5 linked regions of the Ovis aries genome follow. The protein of the gene in region 4 purifies or fractionates together with the protein of the main gene of each other region. This does not show direct contact. Links are inferred from orthologs where the notes say so. Each region holds a gene or a part of one and is shown on either strand. Other genes may lie near its edges.

Region 1 (4,026 bases), on a different chromosome or scaffold from region 4:
AAAAAAAAAAAAATTACAAATGATCCAGGGAAGCATCTGAGTCCGAATTTTGACTTTAGGGCTGCTGAAAGTAGGAAGGGTTTCTGGATTGGGGGACCAGGAGAGACAAGAAACATCTTGGCTCCCTCCACCTACCCCTCCCACCAGAAGATGTACCTCTGTAGTCTTCAAACCAGTCATTACAAGCCTTTCTGCCTCCCCTTGCCACTTGCAGTCACCCTTCTTTCAGCCCACCCTCAGAATTCATCCAGCTGCTGGGATGTTGAGCATCTTAAATGGTAGTTCTGGGCCTGTGGTCCTGTGACCCAGCATGCTGCTTGTACATTCTGCTATACAAGTCTAAGTATTTTAACAAGGTAGAAAAGTCTTTGCTCTCTGACTCCATCTTTCCAACTCTGGTTTTCGTTACTATAGCCACACTTGAAGAAGCTTTTAATACTGCTTTGCATTTATCATTTTGTGTGCTTTGCTGAAAATGAGTTAATTGCCCCTCCGTTTCTGCGTGAGTGCCACCTCCTCCATGAAGTCTTCACCCAGTTTTCCTCAGCTAGAAGACTCTCCCTGCTCTGAGCCTCTGGAGGTGTCTCTATATACATTTCCAAATTGCCTTAGCTCTTTCTGTATCCTCTCTTCAGCTAGGTCTGAAGCCCTAAGAGGACACAGAGTGAGCATCTCATTCAGTTTCTGTAATGGCAAAAAGCAGCAGGTGCGGTGTGAATGTGTCTGCCTCACCCCTGTAGGTGCTCAGGCAAGTGCCTGTTACCCCGAAGGCAGGACTTCCCGCTTACACCGCTCAGTTTTTAGGCAGGCGCCGGACACGGTTAGGTTACACAGCCAGGGGAGTCGGGACATTCCAGTCAGTCGCTAGGGTATCCTCACCCGCTCTCTCTGCCCAGTTCCAAATGGGGTGTGTGTAAGAAGGATATGGGGGCCGGGTAGCCTCAATAGCTCCTCCTCCAGGTTCACCCAGCGAATCTCCGAGTCCCAGGAGGTCTCCTTCCAGTCCAAGGGCCTCAAGTAACTCCAAGCGGCGGTGCGGTAGAGATGGGGCCCTCTGCCATGGTTGCACCTCCCACTCACAGCTAGTTTAATTAATTTATTTCTATTTTTTGGAGGGAGGGGGCGTTCAATGAAGGGGAAGAGGTGGAGCAAGGGGAGGAGGCGGGCCCAGGATGACTGACGCGAGCACCAGGGAGCCAATGGCCCGTGGGGGGCGTTCCCCCCCATTCAGGACTCCTCGCCTGGCTCGGAAGGTATGTTAAACAGCTGCTTTTAATTTGGTCTCCCCAATCTCGGGCGTTTGGGGGGCTTGTTTGCCGGCCGGTCCCTTTGACCAGTCAGCCATGGTGCAGGCGCCGCGGGCCCTGGGACGGAGCTAGGGGAGGCTTGGAGTCCGGCGGCCGAGGGAGGCGAGGGGCAGGCCAGGAAGGAGAGCTCTTGGCGCCGCCCGCTCGCCAGTGTGTTTCCAAGCCGGGCCAGATCCGCGGGGAGGGGGTCGGCCCGACCCGGGGTCTCCAGTGTGCCGGCCGTGCTGCCTAGTTTATTTCACCGAGCGGTCGGTTTCGGTAGGTTTCGGCGGCGGGCTGGGTAAGGGGCCGGCAGGAGGAGATCCCTCGCCCTGCTGGAATGCCTTTAAAAATTATTGTAAAGAAGAAAAAAGGGGAGATTCCGTACACCGACTGGAACCGGGCCCGAGATGCGGCGCGCGGGCTCGGCAGGGGGCGGCGGCCTGAGCTCAGCCGGCCGGGCCCACCAAACCGCCCGGAGTTGGTCGAGAGCTGGAGTTAGCGAGCGAGCCCAGGCCCGCAGCTTTCCCCGCTAACCACGCTGGGCGAGGGCGGCAGCCGCCCAAGGGTTTTGTTTCTGTCCGCAAACTTGTCGGAGGGGGCGGTGGGCGCGCTCAGAAGAGGCGCGGGCTCCTTGGGCCCGCGGTTGTTATGGACTCTGGGGGCGGGGGCAACGCCGGACTTGCGGGAGGGGCGGTCGGGGGCGGGGGAGGCCACCGGAAAGAGCCCCAGCGCCTCGGCAGTAGACCCATGCGCCGGTCTGAGCTCTCCGAACTCCCGGGCCGTGGCAGGAGAGCTAGCGTTCGGCGCCGGAACCCGGCCCGGGGGTGTGGAAAACCTCCAGGAACTCGGCGGCTTCGACCCGCAGCCCCAGCTGATCCCTTTGCAAACATGGAGCTGCCTCCTTCCCCGCCCACCCCAAGGCGGCGACGGCGGCTCCTTTCCCCTCCCCCTGCCGTGCTGCTCGCCCGCGGAAGGGGCGGGGGCGGGGGCACCGGCGAGTGAGCGCGCCCACGAGGGGGTAGCCTGAAAGGGGCAGTGAAGGTCGGAAACTGGGCAAACAGTCTCCACGCTCGAAATCGGGAAAAGGAAATGCATCAGCGGGCGGGAGGGGCGCGGGAGGCGCGCCTGTCAGTCGGGATGGCGGCCGCGGGCTGGGGGGCGGGGCGCCGGCGCGAACCGCGGAGGTCGGGCGGGGCGACGCCAGGAGAGGAGGCGCAGGGGCCCGGCCCTTGGAGCGCCAGACTACCCCAGCTTCCACTCCTTGGCCTAGCCTGTTTACTATACTCCGGCGACGGCTTGTGCAACCGGCCTGGAGGCGAGCTGAGGGGCGGGGCCTTCCCTCCTCTCTTCCACCCGTCTCGGGCTTCTTCAGAGTGCCCGCCTTCTCTTGTTTTCCACTGGCTGGGCGAGGCTCCCTTTTTTCCTGCTCGGTTGTTGATTGGATGACATTCTTCCCAGCTCCGCCTATCGGAGGCCGGGCTGGAGTTTAAGTTGCTAGGATTTTTTTCCGTGAAGGGCGGAGGGAGGATTCCTGCGGCTTACGTGAGGCGCAAGGGTCCGCCCCTACTTCTGATTGGTGAGGTGGATAGTCCCGCCCCCTACGGGGGAGCGAGCTTGGAGAGGGAAGTCCACCCCTGTTCCCCGCCCCCTACCCTAGCGTGTGTGCGCGCTCAGCACATGTGTAAGGCGCGCCTTGCTCCTTCGAACAGTCCTCCCGCCCGGAAGTCCCGGGCTTGGAGCTCTTGGCAAGGGGGGCAGGGAGAGCCGAGAAAGGCACACGATGTTTCCTCCAAGGCTCGAGATCTGGTAGCCTTCGCTTTGAAGTTAGGGGTTGACGGTGTAGGGTGGCTTTGGGGGGCTTTGCTCCTGTGGTTCTGCAAGGGTTGGGAGGAGGGGGTGTGGTCTGTCCTTCCTCGCCAAGTACTAAAGTTCTGACCCTGCATCCTGGCTTTTCTTGCGACTCAACTTCCCGGAGACCGCCCTAAGCCTAGCTTCAGAACGCTGCGGACGCTGCCAGTGTGTTTTCTTTCCAGCATAAGGCAGCCGCTGTCCTTACTAAGCTTTATCAAAACCTCTGAGCAACCTAGGGTTGCCGTGGATGCTTTAGGCAATATCCAGGGCAGCTCATCCCCTGCTGACAGAGAAGTCGAGAGTGGCCCAATTCTGCTAGAGTTCCAAATGGTTCTTGATGTCCAGGTGGGAATGCCGTGTGGCACCCAGTGCAAGGAGAGGAGGAAGACCCAGTTCTGCATATTTGCCGCTTCTTCGTAACCTCCTAGAGGTTTGGGCTGGGGGTCTCGTTTGTTTCGTCCGTGTTACTTATTTTTTGAGCTCCGTCCTGGGGCAGGGTTTGGCTCCCAGGGAGATTGTTCCCATCTGTCGGCTATTGATGAAGTTCAGTTCGCTGCCTTCCGGTTTGGAGTCCGGCCCACCTGTTGCCAGCGCTCATTTCTTGGGGTCTCCGGCGGATTACGGAGGAAGGACAAGAAAGGACCTGGGAGTGAGCTACCTGGGGCCTGCCTCTCGGATACGGACTCGGCTCTCTTAGGGGAGTAGCTTTTTTGCGGAAGAGAGCGGGAAAACTCTAGTCCCGCCCCCTCCTCTCCTGGCGCTCCGTGAGCGCCCCCCAAAGCAAGGCCAGCGTCAGTTCGCCCTATTTAGTGAATAAATAAAAGCCACCTAGATATCGCTAGCATCTCGTCTGTGTTCAAGGCCATATTACCTAAACAGAGAGGGC
Region 2 (3,514 bases), on a different chromosome or scaffold from region 4:
CTCCTGCGATCATTCCTGGGTCTGTGTTTACCTCAGTCCCTGTCCTGTTCTCTGCCACGTTCAGCTTGGGTATTTCTTCTCTGGCTGCCAAGTCACCATTTCTCTCTGCTTCATGCCTGTTTTCTGCCTTTTGATGTTTTGGTGGCAGAAAAGGTGGAGTCTAAGACATTTCTGTCTGTCCTTCTGTCTTAACAGTGAGTAAGCTCAGGACCTCCAGCTAAGGCCAGTCAGTCACCCTTTCCATGGGCTGGGGCTGGGGCTGGGGCTGGGGCTGGGACTGGGACTGGGCTGGGGGTGTGGTGGTGGGGGGCAGGGACAGAGGGGAGCAGAGCCCCAGGGATCTGACTGGGGAGCACCCCCGTTCTCTTCCTTGACACCCTGCACTCACCAACCTGAGCACTCCGAAACGCAAGCGGCGGCCCCAAGATGGGCCCCGGGAACACCAGACAGGCTCAGCCCGCAGCGAAGGCTACTACCCCATCAGCAAGAAGGAGAAGGACCGGTACCTGGATGTGTGCCCTGTCTCAGCCCGGCAGCTGGAAGGAGTGGATACTCAGGTGAGTCTCTGCCTGGGTACCTGCCCAGTGGCAGCATTTTCTTTCCATGAGTTTTCATGTCACTTACCTCCTCCCTGGCCTGCTCCTTGCAGGGGACTAACCGTGTGCTTTCGGAGCGCCGGTCGGAGCAGCGGCGGCTGCTGAGCGCCATCGGCACTTCTGCCATCATGGACAGCGATCTGCTGAAGTTAAACCAGCTCAAGGTGAGGGAGGAGTGGGAGTTGAGGAGGGCAGGGGCACTGTGGGAAGGTGGCATCACGGAGACTCCTAGGGGTGGTCTGGGCACAAGTGGCCAGAACACTTCTGCCCCAGAGGTCTGAGGAGTGGCCAGCGGCTGGGTTGAAGGGGATTCCCAGTGGCACAATCTGCCTTCTGCCCTCTAGTTCCGGAAGAAGAAGCTCCGATTCGGCCGGAGCCGGATCCACGAGTGGGGACTGTTTGCCATGGAACCCATCGCCGCTGATGAGATGGTCATCGAATACGTGGGTCAGAACATTCGCCAGGTGAGGCTTCAGCCCCTGACCTAACACGAGAACCACCCAGCCTTTGGGTGAAAGCCCATGCTCTCACCTGGCTCCCAGACTTAGCCAGTGACACCTGCCTGTTTTGTTCCCCTTCCTTCCTTCAACAGCTATTCACGGGTACTAGTAAACTAGCTTCCCTGGTGGCTCAGCAGTAAAGAATCCGCCTGCAGTGCAGGAGACGTAGGTTCCATCCCTGAATTGGGAAGATCCCCTGGAGAAGGAAATGGCAACCCACTACAGTATTCTTGCCTGGGAAATCTCATGGACAGAGGAGCCTGGCAGGCTGGGGTCACAAGAGTCAGACATGACTGAGCAATTAAACAACAGCAGCTAGTAAACTAGATGTTAGTGATCCAGTAACAAATAAGATGAATATTATGTCTCCCTTAAAGACCTCACAGTTTAGTGAGCAAGACAGGTACTGAACAGGTACTCCAGTGAAGAATGATGTTCAGTTGGTATGAAAGGAGGTGTTCAGGGGGGCAAGGGCAGCAGGAATGACGTTTACACCAGAAGCTGAATGATGCTGAGGCATTCCAGGCCCCAGTTAGAGGGCAGGACGCTCCCCCATGTAGGAGGCATAGGCAAAGGCCTGGAGGCAGGATGGTCCTAGGAGCACAAGCAGGTCACTGGGAAAACTCGGGCCAGTGGAGGCCAGACGCCACAGAGCTTGGGAGCCATGTTAATGAGATTGGACCGATGGTGAGAAAAGTTGCCGTGAAGCAGTAAGCAGGAGAGGATTTGGAGGTTAATAACCTCCATCTGACTGCCATGTGGAGAACAGGGTGGGGCTGTTGCAGAGATCCAGGCTGAAGGTAGGGGTGGCCTGAACGGGCAGTGGGTTTCAAGTAGCTGGCGGAACCAGTCAACCAGTTGATTCTGAAGATGGAAGGCAAGGGCTGAGGCAAGACGGTTTCTCCGGGCACTGCCTTTAGCAGCTGGGAGTAGGAAAGGCTGCCAGCAAAGAGGCGGAGCGGGTGTGTGGTCAGAGGCCTCTGGTCAGGACAGTGCCCGGGGGATGTCTCATGGGTGACGCCCAGCAGTTCCACTGAGGTGGATTTTGGCTGGAGAGAGGAGTTTGGGAGGAGTCCCCCCACTTAACTGGCTCTCGAAGGCCTGGAAGAGAGTGAGTTTGCCCAAGGGGAGAGTGCAGAGGGTTTATCCGGCTGTTTACTGGGAAACGAGTTACTCCTCACATGAAAATGTGGGCCCTGATGGCAGACAGCGGGAGCCGTAGGTCCCGATGTGGAAAGAGGGTCCTGGGAGAAGAGTAGGGTTCAGTCCGTGAAATAACCACTGACATCTCAGGAACCGTCCCAGCCTCTGAGAGTCTGGGGACTCCCCCATGGGTCAGGCAGACTCCCCTGGGAGGAGCCAGTGGCTGCTTCTCCTGCCCTGTGGTCAGTGCAGACTTCCTTGGGTTCCTTCCTCTGGGTGCCTCTGTCATAACAGCAGCCAAGGGTATTGGGAGGTGTTCATCAGAGGAAGTCCTGGAAGCAAAGTCAGAAGTCAGCGCTTTGAGGTAGCGGGTGCTAGAGGGAGATCTGTGGATTCAGGACAGGCTGGCGTGGCTCCCAGGCTGGCAGCTGGGGGAGTGTCCAGACCCCTGATCGCAGGGGCCAGTGGAGTCCAGCCTGGCCTGGCAGGAAGCTGAGGGGCAGCCCCCTGACCATCACCCTCTGTCTCGTTAGATGGTGGCTGACATGCGGGAGAAGCGCTATGTGCAAGAGGGCATTGGCAGCAGCTACCTGTTCCGGGTAGACCATGACACCATCATCGACGCCACCAAGTGCGGCAACCTGGCGAGGTTCATCAACCACTGCTGCACGGTGCGAGGACGGGGCCGGGCAGGGGCGGCGGGAGGGGGTGGGGCGGGAGCTGGGGCGGGGGGCAGCTGCCACTGATGCGCCCCTCGGCCTGCAGCCCAACTGCTATGCCAAGGTGATCACCATCGAGTCCCAGAAGAAGATCGTAATCTACTCGAAGCAGCCGATTGGTGTGGATGAGGAGATCACCTACGACTACAAGTTCCCCCTGGAGGACAACAAGATCCCGTGTCTGTGCGGCACGGAGAGCTGCCGCGGCTCCCTCAACTGAGGTGGGGCAGGACTGGTGCCCTCACCCCTATTTATTCCCCCTCGCCGCCCTGAGCTCCCAGCGCTCCCAGCCTTAGTGGGCTCAGTGGGGCCCACCTGCCCCCTCTTGGAATGTGGGCTTGGGGGCCCTGAGCCCAGCGAGGGGGCCTGAGTCCCGTGAGGCACCTTCTGCGGGCCCTCTCTTGCCCCTGCCCCCCCCCCCCCCCCCCCAATTTTTTTTCTTTGCGGAGAAGAAGCTGTAAATGTTTTGTAGCTGCCAGCAGCTGTTTCCTGTGGAAACCTGGGGTGCCGGCCTGTACAGATCCTGTTCTTGGGGGGCCTCCCAGCCCCCATGCTT
Region 3 (3,514 bases), on a different chromosome or scaffold from region 4:
CCAGTCACAGCCAGTCCAAGCAGCGTCCCGAGGGCTCTCTTGGGCAGCAGACCCACTCTGGTGCAAGCCATCGCACCCATTCACTGCCATGGCTGGTGTGACCAGGCAGCCAACATTCCACACCAGCCACCACCTGGCAAGGGCATGGTTCTGGGTAGTGCCCGCCCACTCCACTGGTTTCTTTCTGACAATGACTTGCTCGTCTTTCCCAATGAACAAGTCACTCATTCAGGCCAGCTTAAAACTCTCTTAAGAGAACAGTGAAGTCTCTGGCAGTTTCCCTGGCTCTGCCCCCACCCCTCCCCCATGACCCACCTGTTGTTGTGAGGCTGGCGGCACAGGCAGTACAGGGCGCTGGGGTCGTACACCTCACACTCCGGCTTGTGCCGGACCAAGTCTGCGGCTTCCTCGGCTCTCCCTCCCGGGGCCACTCTCCCATCCGGCCGGCCCTCTCTGTCCTCTTTCACTGCCTGGGCAGCAGCCCCCAGGTCGCCCTCAGGCTCCCGTGAGGTGGGCAGCGAGCCCTCCATCGCATCACCCGCCTGGACGTCCACGGTCTCAGCCGGGTCCTCCTCCCGCCGTTTCCTCCGCAGGCGGTTCTGGATGCCCCTTGCGGGCCGGTCCGCGGGCTCCTGCTCACGCTTCTTCCGCAGGCGGTTCTGGAGTTCCTTCAAGGTCAGTCCGTCGCTATCGCTGTCGGACGTGTCGTCCTCGTCTTCGCCCTCTCTAGCCTTTGCCGAGGAGGCCGGCCGCTGCTTAGCACCCGTGGAGCTGGACCTGGGCCCACTCTTTCCGTCCGAGGCGCTCTCCACACTGCCTTCAGAGGCGGTCTCCGCGTCTGTCGCTGGACAGGATGCTGGCTCCCCAGAGTCCTCCAGGGACACGGGGGCACTCCGACGGCCACGGCGCCGCACAGTGGTCAGAAACTCCTCCACCCGCTCAGTGCGCTTCGGCTGCCGCCCACTGCGCCGCAGAGATGGACTTTGCTGCTGCCGGGGCGACGGCTCCAAGGTGTCCGCCTCCGCATCCCCGGCACCCTCACGCTTAGCAATGGTGGTCCTCCGGAAGCCCCATGTCTTCCGGAACTCCTTGCTGGTGGGCTTGATGGCTTTGGGCGCCTCCTCACTGCTCGGGTCACCCTTGTCGTCCATACCTGACAAGGAAACACAAGCAGGCCATGTCAGGCATCAGCCAGGGCTATGGTCCGGGCCTGACACTCATCAGCTACAAGCAAGCAAAGGGGGCACTCCCTCACACACGGGAGAACCCGACCTACAGAAAGCAAAAATGCTTCTACAGTGTGGGAGGATTCAGTTACGAACCCCATGCTCAGGAGGAAAACCCAGCAAGCAAACTACCTCTATGAACATGTCCCCTGACTTCTGAGGACAAGCATGTATACCGGAAGTCAAGAATGAGGAATTGGGCAGTGGTGCTGCCAGGACAGGGCAGGATAGGGCAGCAGGGGCTTTCTGGCTCCCCACAGGGAGACATGGGCCCACCTCCCACCTGGCTTGCTCTAGGCCCAGAACTCTGGAGCCCCAGGCAGTGTGAGATGTCCACCACCCAGCAGGGGAAGGGTGGAGACGGGCTCGTTTGCACCCTGAACACCCAGCCCCACTGAACCCACCCAGATCCTAGAGCCGAGACTGTGTCAACTGAGCCAGATGGCACCTCGTGTGTCTATTTCTTCTCTCTCCTAAGAGATTATTAAAGGCTCCGGTTTGTGAAAACTTTGTCCTTATTTCAAATGAAAAAAGCCTGAAAAAATACAGTATATACCTTAAGAATTTTTTCCCCAAGCTGTACAGGCTTCAATTACATTTAAATGCTAATGATAACTCAGATTTTATGCCACGTTCCATCCCAGGGGAAGGACTCGTACAAAATGAAAACCTTCAAACAGAAAATACACAAAATTCAAAGTCACACACCACGGAACTCTCTGTTAGGTTCCCACCAAGTGGTGTCACCTCCCAACCACCATCCGGACCAGCAGCTCCCCACTCCGGGCCTTGGCCCACGCTCTGTGACATCAGCACCCACTCTGTGACATCGTGCCCTCGAGGGCCACATCACTGTCCTGGTCACCCAAGGCTTTCTGCAGGAAGGACTCTCCTCCACAAGATACAGCCTTCACCAGCAAGAATGCACGTCATTGTAAGCTAAAGGAACACTCAATTTAATGATTGATTAGACACTCTTGAGCTAAAGTTTAGAATATCTCAAACAAATATTAATGGTACACCAGTTTTTATACATATATTATGCCACTTTTGAAATAAAAACATGACATCAGAACTTAAAATTGTGTTGTTGGCATTTAACATATTATCAACTGTGGGAGTTTTGCAAAAACAAAACTGTGGCTAATAATTTGTTATGTAAGTGAATACTGAAATGTCTCTGGTAAATAACATTTGGATAACAAAAGATGCATCAGTACATCTCTGGTCAGTAAGATGTCAACACTACTGCCATTGTTACCTGCCCCACACAGAAGCATGGGCACTTCTTCCGACTTCCTAAACCCAGCACAAACAGGGCCGTTACAACCTCGAGGCACAAGGAAAGCGCCAGGCCCCCAGTGCTGCTGTCGTCAGCCACTGTTCACAGATCACAAGGTAAATTATCTTGAGACTGTGTCCACGGAGTAAACTCCTAAAACAAACAAACAAACAAACAAACAAAAAAAACAGTTTAAAGATCTAAAGCAACCAGAACTAAAATCACATTTAAGGGAAAAAAAGGCACAAAACTTTCCAAGCAATCTCTTAAGTCTACATTATGCGACCTACAGAAACATTCGCCCAGTCCACAAATACGGCCCCCCAACAAGGACTTTTTTTTAAAAAGGGAAGATGTATACTTTTGACTACACGATGAAAGCAGGGGCTGGGACAGGCCATGGCTGGCACCCTGGTAGAGGGAGCTGGTGGTCGAGTGCAGAGGGCTCAGTGGGTGGGAGGGAGGATTCCAAAATCAGTCACTGGCATCAGCTGCTTCCTAATTACAACCCTACTTCTGATGGACCCAGGCCAATAAAAACCAGAGGGAGAATCAGGAACAAAACATGAAAAGATGAACAAGAAAATTATACATGAAAGCAATTATTTAGAAATTCTTAACACTGTAGCTATGTCGTCATTTTAGTTAAAAAACCTAATAAAGATTTCAGAAGATTAATAATTACTGGACATCCCTGTGGTACAGCTTATCCTTGTGTATTTATGCATTTAAAGAACATTTCTCCTCCTGTCTCCTCATTCAATCATCATACCTAAATGGTCCACAAACACGTTTCTGATTCTAGGTAAATTCTCAGTATTAACATTTTAACACATTTCACATTCTATACCCAAGACCCCTGCCTGCGCCTCGCCTCACCTCTTCCTCGCCTCACTCCAACTGCCTCCCCTGTTAACTGTGGTCTCCTTAGTGACCTCAGGACAAACATTCCATCCCGCCTCCTCTTAAAGGGACAGAGTCCATCGCACTGCAACTCTTTCAAGTG
Region 4 (4,032 bases):
CCACGATGGTTTAACACTAGCATTTTCTAAAGAGCTCTGATACTGACTAAAAGGACTAAAACACTGCAAACAACCCTGTATAAACCTACAACTGCAATGAATTTTTTAAAGAATGGAGAAATGCTAAAATATAAAACCATTCAATAAAGTGCAACTAAATTAATAATAAATGAATGTACTTTGCTGTGTGTAACTTTGTTCAGATACAAAAAGATAAAGAATATACAGCTAAAGCCCAGAGATGGAAAACAACAACAAGCTGCCTAAGTCTCAAGTGTAAATACTTTAACAATGATACATTACTTGGGAATTTGACCACAGTACTTCCAGGAGACAGAGTAAGAAACTTTCTACAAATTAAATACTTAAATTCTACCAAGCTCCAAGTGAGAAGCTAATATTGAGCCTAGACCCTCAATCATTAGACCTGGCAAATGAACTGTATACTCAGGAAAGTAAAGTAAATTTCCTAACAAGGCACAGCTAGCTGACCACTAACGTTAAGAGCAGAGAGACCTGCATCCACATTTGTGGACGGTTATACCTCTTATGGGCTTCCCTTGTGGCTCAGCTGGTAAAGAATCTGCCTGCAATGTGGGGAACCTGGGTTCGATCCCTGGGTTGAGAAGATCCCCTGGAGAAGGGAAAGGCTACCCACTCCAGTATTCCGGCCTGGAGAATTCCAGACTGCTATTGTTTCCCAGCTCACTCTGCTTCTGTTCAATTCGGTCCCATTTATTTTGGGGCTTCCCTGATGGCTCAGATGGTAAAGCGTCTGCCTGCAATGAGGGAGACCCGGGTTCGATTCCCGGGTCGGGAAGATCCCCTGGAGAAGGAAATGGCAATCCACTCCAGCACTCTTGCCTGGAAAATCCCATGGACGGAGGAGCCTGATAGGCTACAGTCCATGGGGTCGCAAAGAGTCGGACACGACTGAGCGACTTCACTATTCACTCTATCTATTTTAAACAAGTCTCTAGAACTCCCTTCCTTGCTCCTTATTTTTAACCCATACTTTATCAACTTTTCAAAAGCCGCCTATCTGCTATTTTAACACTAGAAATGACAACTTTCTCAAATAAAATAACAGGCAGAAAAGGGCAAGCAGGGGCTTCATTGGTAGTCTAGCGGTTAAGACTATGCGCTCCCAATGCAGGGGGCACAGGTTCCATGCCTGGTCCGGGGAACTAAGATCCCGCAAGCCGCATGGTGCGGCCAAAAAAGAAAGAAAAGGGCAAGCTAGAACAAGAGAATCTAGGACAGACTCTTAAATCTTTAAAAAAAAATCCCTGAGCGAGAGGGGAACACTACCAATCTCACTACCTACAGTCAAATATAAGATACAATTGAAGATTCATCTCTTAGTGCACAATGTCCAAGAACAATAAAACCCTTGACATCTCAACTGAGAAACCAACAAAAAAATAACCTCGTGGGAAACCTTAGAACCGCAGCCCAATCCCCCCTCCCTCCCGCCCCAAACAGCCTCAATACGGAAAGGCAGCTGAAGGACACCCCTATAATTTGGAGTTTTCTTATTTTTAGTACTAAATGCTCTCAGACTAATTGTCTAAAAGGGCAACCGCCTTGCACTTGTGCAGCTACACTCCAGTTGCTTTACAAACTCTTCAAGCAGGGATGAAAACTCAAAAAAATATACCCCCTATGAATAAAGAAATACCGGGCTAAAGAATGGGGATGGAAGACCCAGAGACAGACGGCGGCGGAGGAATACAAGGACAAAGTAACACAAAGCGAGAATTGGGCGGGCAGGATGGTCAACGCCGAAGCCCCCGCACTAGAGTGGTTTCTCCCCGAGGGTAGGAAACGGACCGCAGGGCTGGCAACCACGCGAAGGAAAGGGTGTGGCTCCCCGCGGGAGCGGAGGGAGGACAGGGTGGGAAATCCAGGCTGGGGGCAGCGAGTGGAATTGGGAGATGGCAAAAGAAACCCCTGGAAATTTCCAATCGAAACCGGGGCCGCTCAACCCAAGGCACAGCACACAGGCGCTGCCAGGCGCGGTGCTGCTCAAAATCCCCTGCTGGAGAGGTTACTCGGAGCGCACCCAGGAGCTTGCGCTCGTCCTTGGGGTGATGCAAAGTGAGGATACGATTACATTGGAACGGCACCTCCGCCCTAGATTGACAGAGGACCACCAAATCGGGCTAAAGGGAGCGGGGTGGAGGGGGAAGAGAAGGGGGCGGTGAGCTGAACTGGGGAGAAAACGACTGCGAAGGAGAATGAAAGGCAGCGAGAAGGGCAGGGATTCCAATGCAGTCCATTCTGAGACAGTCTAAGCGCGCAGGTGTAGAAGGGTCCCGAGAGAGCAGAAGGCTAGAAAATGTATAGGATTACAAAGCAAGAAAGGAAGCAAAAAGCAAGCAAGCGAGAGAAAATGTTTTAGGAACGGACGACAGCAGAAAACCCAGATCAGATGCCGCTAGACGCCGAAAAGCTTAGCGATGCCACTGATGCAATGGGGATGGCCAGAGGGGAGGGAGTGATGAGAGGCAGAGGACGGCGCGAGACCCCAAGGGGGCGTCTGCCAAAGTAGAACAGACACCGGTACCTGTGCTGTCGGCCACGTTGCCCACGGAAGACGCCATCTGGAGCTTCTAGAGCGAGTGCAAGAAGGGGGTGATTGAATCCTGCAGCCGCCACTACTGGCAATAATGTTTCTAGAGGTAGGAGCACGAGGGCAGCAGCCGTACCAGTGCTTTGGCAGGCTTAAGCAGCAGCAACAGTTACAGCTTTCGAACCCTAGAACTCTGGTTGGCCATCTACCTCTCACGGTCTTGAAATGGCGGCGACGGCTCCTCGGCCGAAACAACACGGACCGGAACTACTTTCTGTTACAATCAAGTACCAGCGCGGAAGTAGCGCGGTAACCAGTGCTACCAACAAAATGACTATAATCAAAGTCAATCGCTCCTATGTAACCTTCCGCGCAGGGCCCATTGCGACAAACACGATTATGTCTAGAGCGCATGCGAGCAGCCGTGTCAGCCCGACTGGCTGTTAGGGCACTGTCTGGGACAGGAGCCACCAAGTTTTTTTTACTAGCGAAGCGGATGGTTTAAAAGAAACTATACACTTGAATGACACTTTTGCCAGTGGTATAGTCTGCTGCTGCTGCTGCTGCTGCTGCTGCTGCTGCTAAGTCGCTTCAGTCGTGTCCGACTCCGTGCGACCCCATAGACGGCAGCCCACCACGCTCCCCCGTCCCTGGGATTCTCCAGGCAAGAACACTGGAGTGGGTTGCCATTTCCTTCTCCAATGCACGAAAATGAAAAGTGAACGTGAAGTTGCTCAGTCGTGTCCGACTCCCAGCGAACCCGTGGACTGCATCCCACCAGGCTCCTCCGTCCATGGGATTTTCCAGGCAAGAGTACTGGAGTGGGTTGCCATTGCCTTCTCCATGGTATAGTCTACTACTTAGCAAAGAGCATAGATTTTAATAGGAATGCCAAAGGCGTATACAGGTTTCATCAACTTCATTCGTATAGTTGAAAGATGATGAATCAATTCTGAGCAAGTAAATCTAAATGGTTATATTTTCAAAGTCTAGAATTCAAAAGAGAGAGTTCCAATTTGAACACGTGTTAGTTCTGATTCCAGCCATTGGTTTAAGCACTTTGATTAAAAGGATTGAGTTTCTCAGGGCCAAATGAACCCAAGCATCTCAGATTTTGGCCATATAGCCCAAAAGTTCCAAATCCTCTTGGTTTCACGATAATTTTGCCCACAGTATTACGGCAAATGCTTCACAACTCAGGGACATGCTGACAGTTTGCACTGCAAAGGCAGCAGCCATAAAACTGTTAAAGATTCATATTCTTCAAAATCCATGACCCTTCCGAGTTGACTTCATTTCCACCACATTGCTTTGTGAATTGTTACAATCAGTGATACCATTTAACTCAAGGCAGCTCAACAATGATAAATTGATTCATTTGCCATCTACCTAAACCACACATCTAGAGACTAAACTGCTGCGCTTCCTTGAACAAATCAGTTCTTTATGATCCTCCT
Region 5 (3,046 bases), on a different chromosome or scaffold from region 4:
TGCTCTGCAGATAAAAGGCCAGGTCCGTGGAACCCACCAGGGTGCATCCATCCTGGAAAGGCAGTGCCTGGCGCTGACTGGCCCTGACATTGGGGGTGGTGTGGGGGGCGCTCCTGGTGTATGTGCACCCCAAGAGAGGGCTTTGCAGGGAAGAGGAAGGCCTTGTGTCCATCATTTAATACAACTCTGGTCTGGAGAATATGCGTAAGAGTAAGAAGATTCCTGTTCACATAGGAATGATAAATCAGCCATTCATGGAAGGAATGCTGATCAAACACCTAGTCTCACAATAACAAGATGGCAGTGGAGGTCACTGGACTCTCATTCAGCAAGCCAGATCCCCACGCCCAAGGTGGGGCCTGCAGAGCACCAAATGGGCGCCAGCTGAATATGTGCAGCCTCGTGCAGTCTACACCTGTACACAGCCACTCTGAAACACAGGTGCGCCCCTCTACTCTAGGACCATGGGAACGTATTTGCAACTGAAAAGTTTGGAGACCACCAACAGTTATCTTTTTTGTTTCATCAAAATTTTATTAACAAAACCAGAGTTCGGGGAGGCACGGGTGAGCAGACTCCACAGTCCCACCCAGGCACAGAGAACGGAGAGATGTGAAATTCCAAGGCCCTCTGGTAAGGGCAGACAGGCAGTCAGATGGTGGACGGATGGGCACAGGGACTCGGGGACCGTCGGAGAAACATGAACCGCAGACCAGACAAACGGGGGTCCAGGGCCGGGCCCACCCACAGTGCAGGTAGAGAGGACGTGTGGGCCGCCGAGGCTCAGCGCTCGGCGTTTGACCGCAGGTCGGTGGTGAGTGGGTCGTGCTGGATGGTTTGGTGCAGCATCAGGGCCAGTAAGCCCGCCCGGTTGGTCATGGCTGTGCGAACGTTGCGCTCCTGTTCAAACAGCTCGTCCAGCTTGTACCACTGCGTGGGGAGCAGAAGCCTTAAGAAGCAGCTCTGGAGCCCCGCTCCACCCAACCGCGGCCGCATCCACATTGGCAGCCGCACATCCACGGTCAGGGCCTAGCACGCAGTCAAGACCTACCACGCGCACACGCTCCAGGTCCACCTCGGCGCGCCGCAGCTTCTCCCAGCAGTAGTGCCGGTTGCACTGGCGCTTGGGCAGGCGGCAGAAGTCACCCGTGAGCTCAAAAACATCCCTTACGAGGGGGCACCCGCATACCTCGTCAGCTGGCACCTGCAGGGAGGCCGGGGTGGGTGGGGGAAGTTGCAAGTTCGGAGGAGAGTGGGAAGGAACCAAGAGGCGGGCAGAGGGAAGAGAGGAATGCAAGGAAGGGGTGCCCCAGAAAAGAGAGGGATGACGGTGAGGAGGCCGGGCAGTGGAAGGGGCAAACATGGGCAGAGGAAGGGAGCGGGGATGGGAAAGCCTTACTTTGGGGTCCCGTGAGTGCTCGGGGCATAGCACCTGGAGCCGCTTACAGTACGTCTTGCTCTGAGGGTTGTAGACATCACAGAAGAGCCGTGTGGCCCTGGGGGTGTGGAGCGGAGGGCGTGGAAGAGGAGGACAGCAGCGCCCCCGCCTGCACCGGCGGCGGCCACCGACCCCGCCGTAACCCCGCGCTCACCCCGCACGCGCCCACACTCACCCCTCGATGCGGGTGGGGTACATGGACCCAAAGGACGTCTGGCTCTCGTACTGGAGGGGCGAGCACAAACGAGGGAACTGTGGGTGTGCGCTGCGGGCCCTCGCCAGACGGCCCACCTGCTCCCCACGGACCCCACGATGTCCCCACACTGTCCACCCCCTTGGGCCGACACCCTGACCTTGGCGTAGCAGCGCTCCATGTGGCGCAAGGCAACGCGTGGGTTGATGGGGTGCCCGCAGGAGACGCAGAAGATCTGCAGGTCCGTGTCGTCACTGTCGCCCTCATTGCTCTGCGCGGGCGGAGGGGACCATGAGGCCAGACAGGGCCAGGCACGCGGCCCCGCGCCGGGCTGCCGCGGCCGCGGCCCTCACCTCCTCGTCCTCGCGCACCGCCTGCTGCTTGGCGCGCAGGATGATGGCCTCGAGCTCGTGGAAGCGGCGCTCCATCTCCTGGAGGCGGGTGCGCGCGCTCTGCTGCTCCCGGCGGATGCGCTCGAGCAGCTTCTTGCCGTGCTCCTCGGCGATGCACGGGCTCTGCTGCCACTGCTGGATGCGCTGCGGGAGGATCTCGTAGATGCGGCTACAGGGACGTGGGGAATTCGGTGCGCAGGGGAGGAAGCCAGCAAGGAGGCGGGTAAGTGGGGTCCTCCGATGCAGGATGGAAGGGGACTCAAGGGTGAAAGGGTGCGTAACCAGGGGAATGAACGGGCAGACAGAGGATGGGTGCGTGAGCAGGTGGACGGACAGGTGGGTGCTTGGTTGACTGAACGGTGGCCACGTGACCGACTGGGGGCTCCGGTCATGCCCTACCGTGTCCTCCCCGACACCCCCAAAATGACTCACTTGGCCGCCAGCTTCATGCCGCAGTCGTCGGAGCAATACTTGGAGCCGGGCTGGGCGGCGCGCACGCAACCAGGCCCCAGGCACTGCGGCAGCGACGCGGGGTCCTTGGCGTCAGCCCGCTCTGGGTGTTTCCATTTGTCCTTGTGCTTCTGCTTCTGTCGATGGCGCTTGTATCTTTCGTCCTTCTGTGGGACGACACGCGTGGGGTCAGGGCAGGGCTGAAGGCATCTCTGGACCCCTGACACCCCCGGTGCCCCAGCCCGTCAGGCCCTGACCTTTCCCTCCTCACACCCACTGCGCCCTGTCACCTTCTTCTCAGACTTCTTCTCCCGCCGCTTCACGTGCTTCACTTTCACCGCCCTCTTCCGCAGCGCTGGGTCCAGGTACTGGGACTCCTCCGTGTCGCTCATCCAGGGCTGCCAGTGAGGCAAACGCTGATTGTCCTGCGCTCCTGGTGACCTCCCCACGACCTACTCAGTCCCCACATCAACCTTCCATACCCTCTGCCTCCTCTCTCCTCATTACGGATACTCTCTGCTTCTGTAACCTCTACTTGATGCGAAGAACTGACTCGTTTGAAAAGACCCTAAT

Evidence for each region.
Region 1: the proteins of OGT (region 4) and SIN3A purify together in Homo sapiens (affinity purification with western blotting; 4 studies listed by BioGRID, with this or other methods). This does not show direct contact. The link is inferred for Ovis aries from reciprocal best matches to the Homo sapiens genes OGT and SIN3A.
Region 2: the proteins of OGT (region 4) and SETD1A purify together in Homo sapiens (affinity purification with mass spectrometry; 4 studies listed by BioGRID and IntAct, with this or other methods). This does not show direct contact. The link is inferred for Ovis aries from reciprocal best matches to the Homo sapiens genes OGT and SETD1A.
Region 3: the proteins of OGT (region 4) and DIDO1 purify together in Homo sapiens (affinity purification with mass spectrometry; 3 studies listed by BioGRID and IntAct, with this or other methods). This does not show direct contact. The link is inferred for Ovis aries from reciprocal best matches to the Homo sapiens genes OGT and DIDO1.
Region 5: the proteins of OGT (region 4) and CXXC1 purify together in Homo sapiens (affinity purification with mass spectrometry; 3 studies listed by BioGRID and IntAct, with this or other methods). This does not show direct contact. The link is inferred for Ovis aries from reciprocal best matches to the Homo sapiens genes OGT and CXXC1.

What each region holds. Positions count from the first base shown.
Region 1 is NC_056071.1:31,038,029-31,042,054, forward strand, and holds the start of SIN3A (paired amphipathic helix protein Sin3a), read left to right. Parts: upstream 1-1,225; 5' UTR 1,226-1,565; intron 1,566-4,026. UniProt on the Homo sapiens protein: Acts as a transcriptional repressor. Corepressor for REST. Interacts with MXI1 to repress MYC responsive genes and antagonize MYC oncogenic activities. Also interacts with MXD1-MAX heterodimers to repress transcription by tethering SIN3A to DNA.
Region 2 is NC_056077.1:27,630,514-27,634,027, forward strand, and holds part of SETD1A (histone-lysine N-methyltransferase SETD1A), read left to right. Parts: intron 1-384; coding exon 385-557; intron 558-649; coding exon 650-760; intron 761-940; coding exon 941-1,060; intron 1,061-2,772; coding exon 2,773-2,910; intron 2,911-3,004; coding exon 3,005-3,178; 3' UTR 3,179-3,514. UniProt on the Homo sapiens protein: Histone methyltransferase that catalyzes methyl group transfer from S-adenosyl-L-methionine to the epsilon-amino group of 'Lys-4' of histone H3 (H3K4) via a non-processive mechanism.
Region 3 is NC_056066.1:54,193,710-54,197,223, reverse strand, and holds part of DIDO1 (death-inducer obliterator 1), read right to left. Parts: intron 2,662-3,514; 5' UTR 2,507-2,661; coding exon 2,488-2,506; intron 1,762-2,487; exon of another isoform or gene 1,631-1,761; intron 1,154-1,630; coding exon 316-1,153; intron 1-315. UniProt on the Homo sapiens protein: Putative transcription factor, weakly pro-apoptotic when overexpressed. Tumor suppressor. Required for early embryonic stem cell development.
Region 4 is NC_056080.1:64,200,092-64,204,123, reverse strand, and holds the start of OGT (UDP-N-acetylglucosamine--peptide N-acetylglucosaminyltransferase 110 kDa subunit), read right to left. Parts: upstream 2,803-4,032; 5' UTR 2,607-2,802; coding exon 2,570-2,606; intron 1-2,569. UniProt on the Homo sapiens protein: Catalyzes the transfer of a single N-acetylglucosamine from UDP-GlcNAc to a serine or threonine residue in cytoplasmic and nuclear proteins resulting in their modification with a beta-linked N-acetylglucosamine (O-GlcNAc).
Region 5 is NC_056076.1:50,259,437-50,262,482, forward strand, and holds the end of CXXC1 (CXXC-type zinc finger protein 1), read right to left. Parts: intron 2,872-3,046; coding exon 2,764-2,871; intron 2,641-2,763; coding exon 2,456-2,640; intron 2,193-2,455; coding exon 1,985-2,192; intron 1,903-1,984; coding exon 1,792-1,902; intron 1,664-1,791; coding exon 1,614-1,663; intron 1,497-1,613; coding exon 1,052-1,496; intron 931-1,051; coding exon 784-930; 3' UTR 509-783; downstream 1-508. UniProt on the Homo sapiens protein: Transcriptional activator that exhibits a unique DNA binding specificity for CpG unmethylated motifs with a preference for CpGG.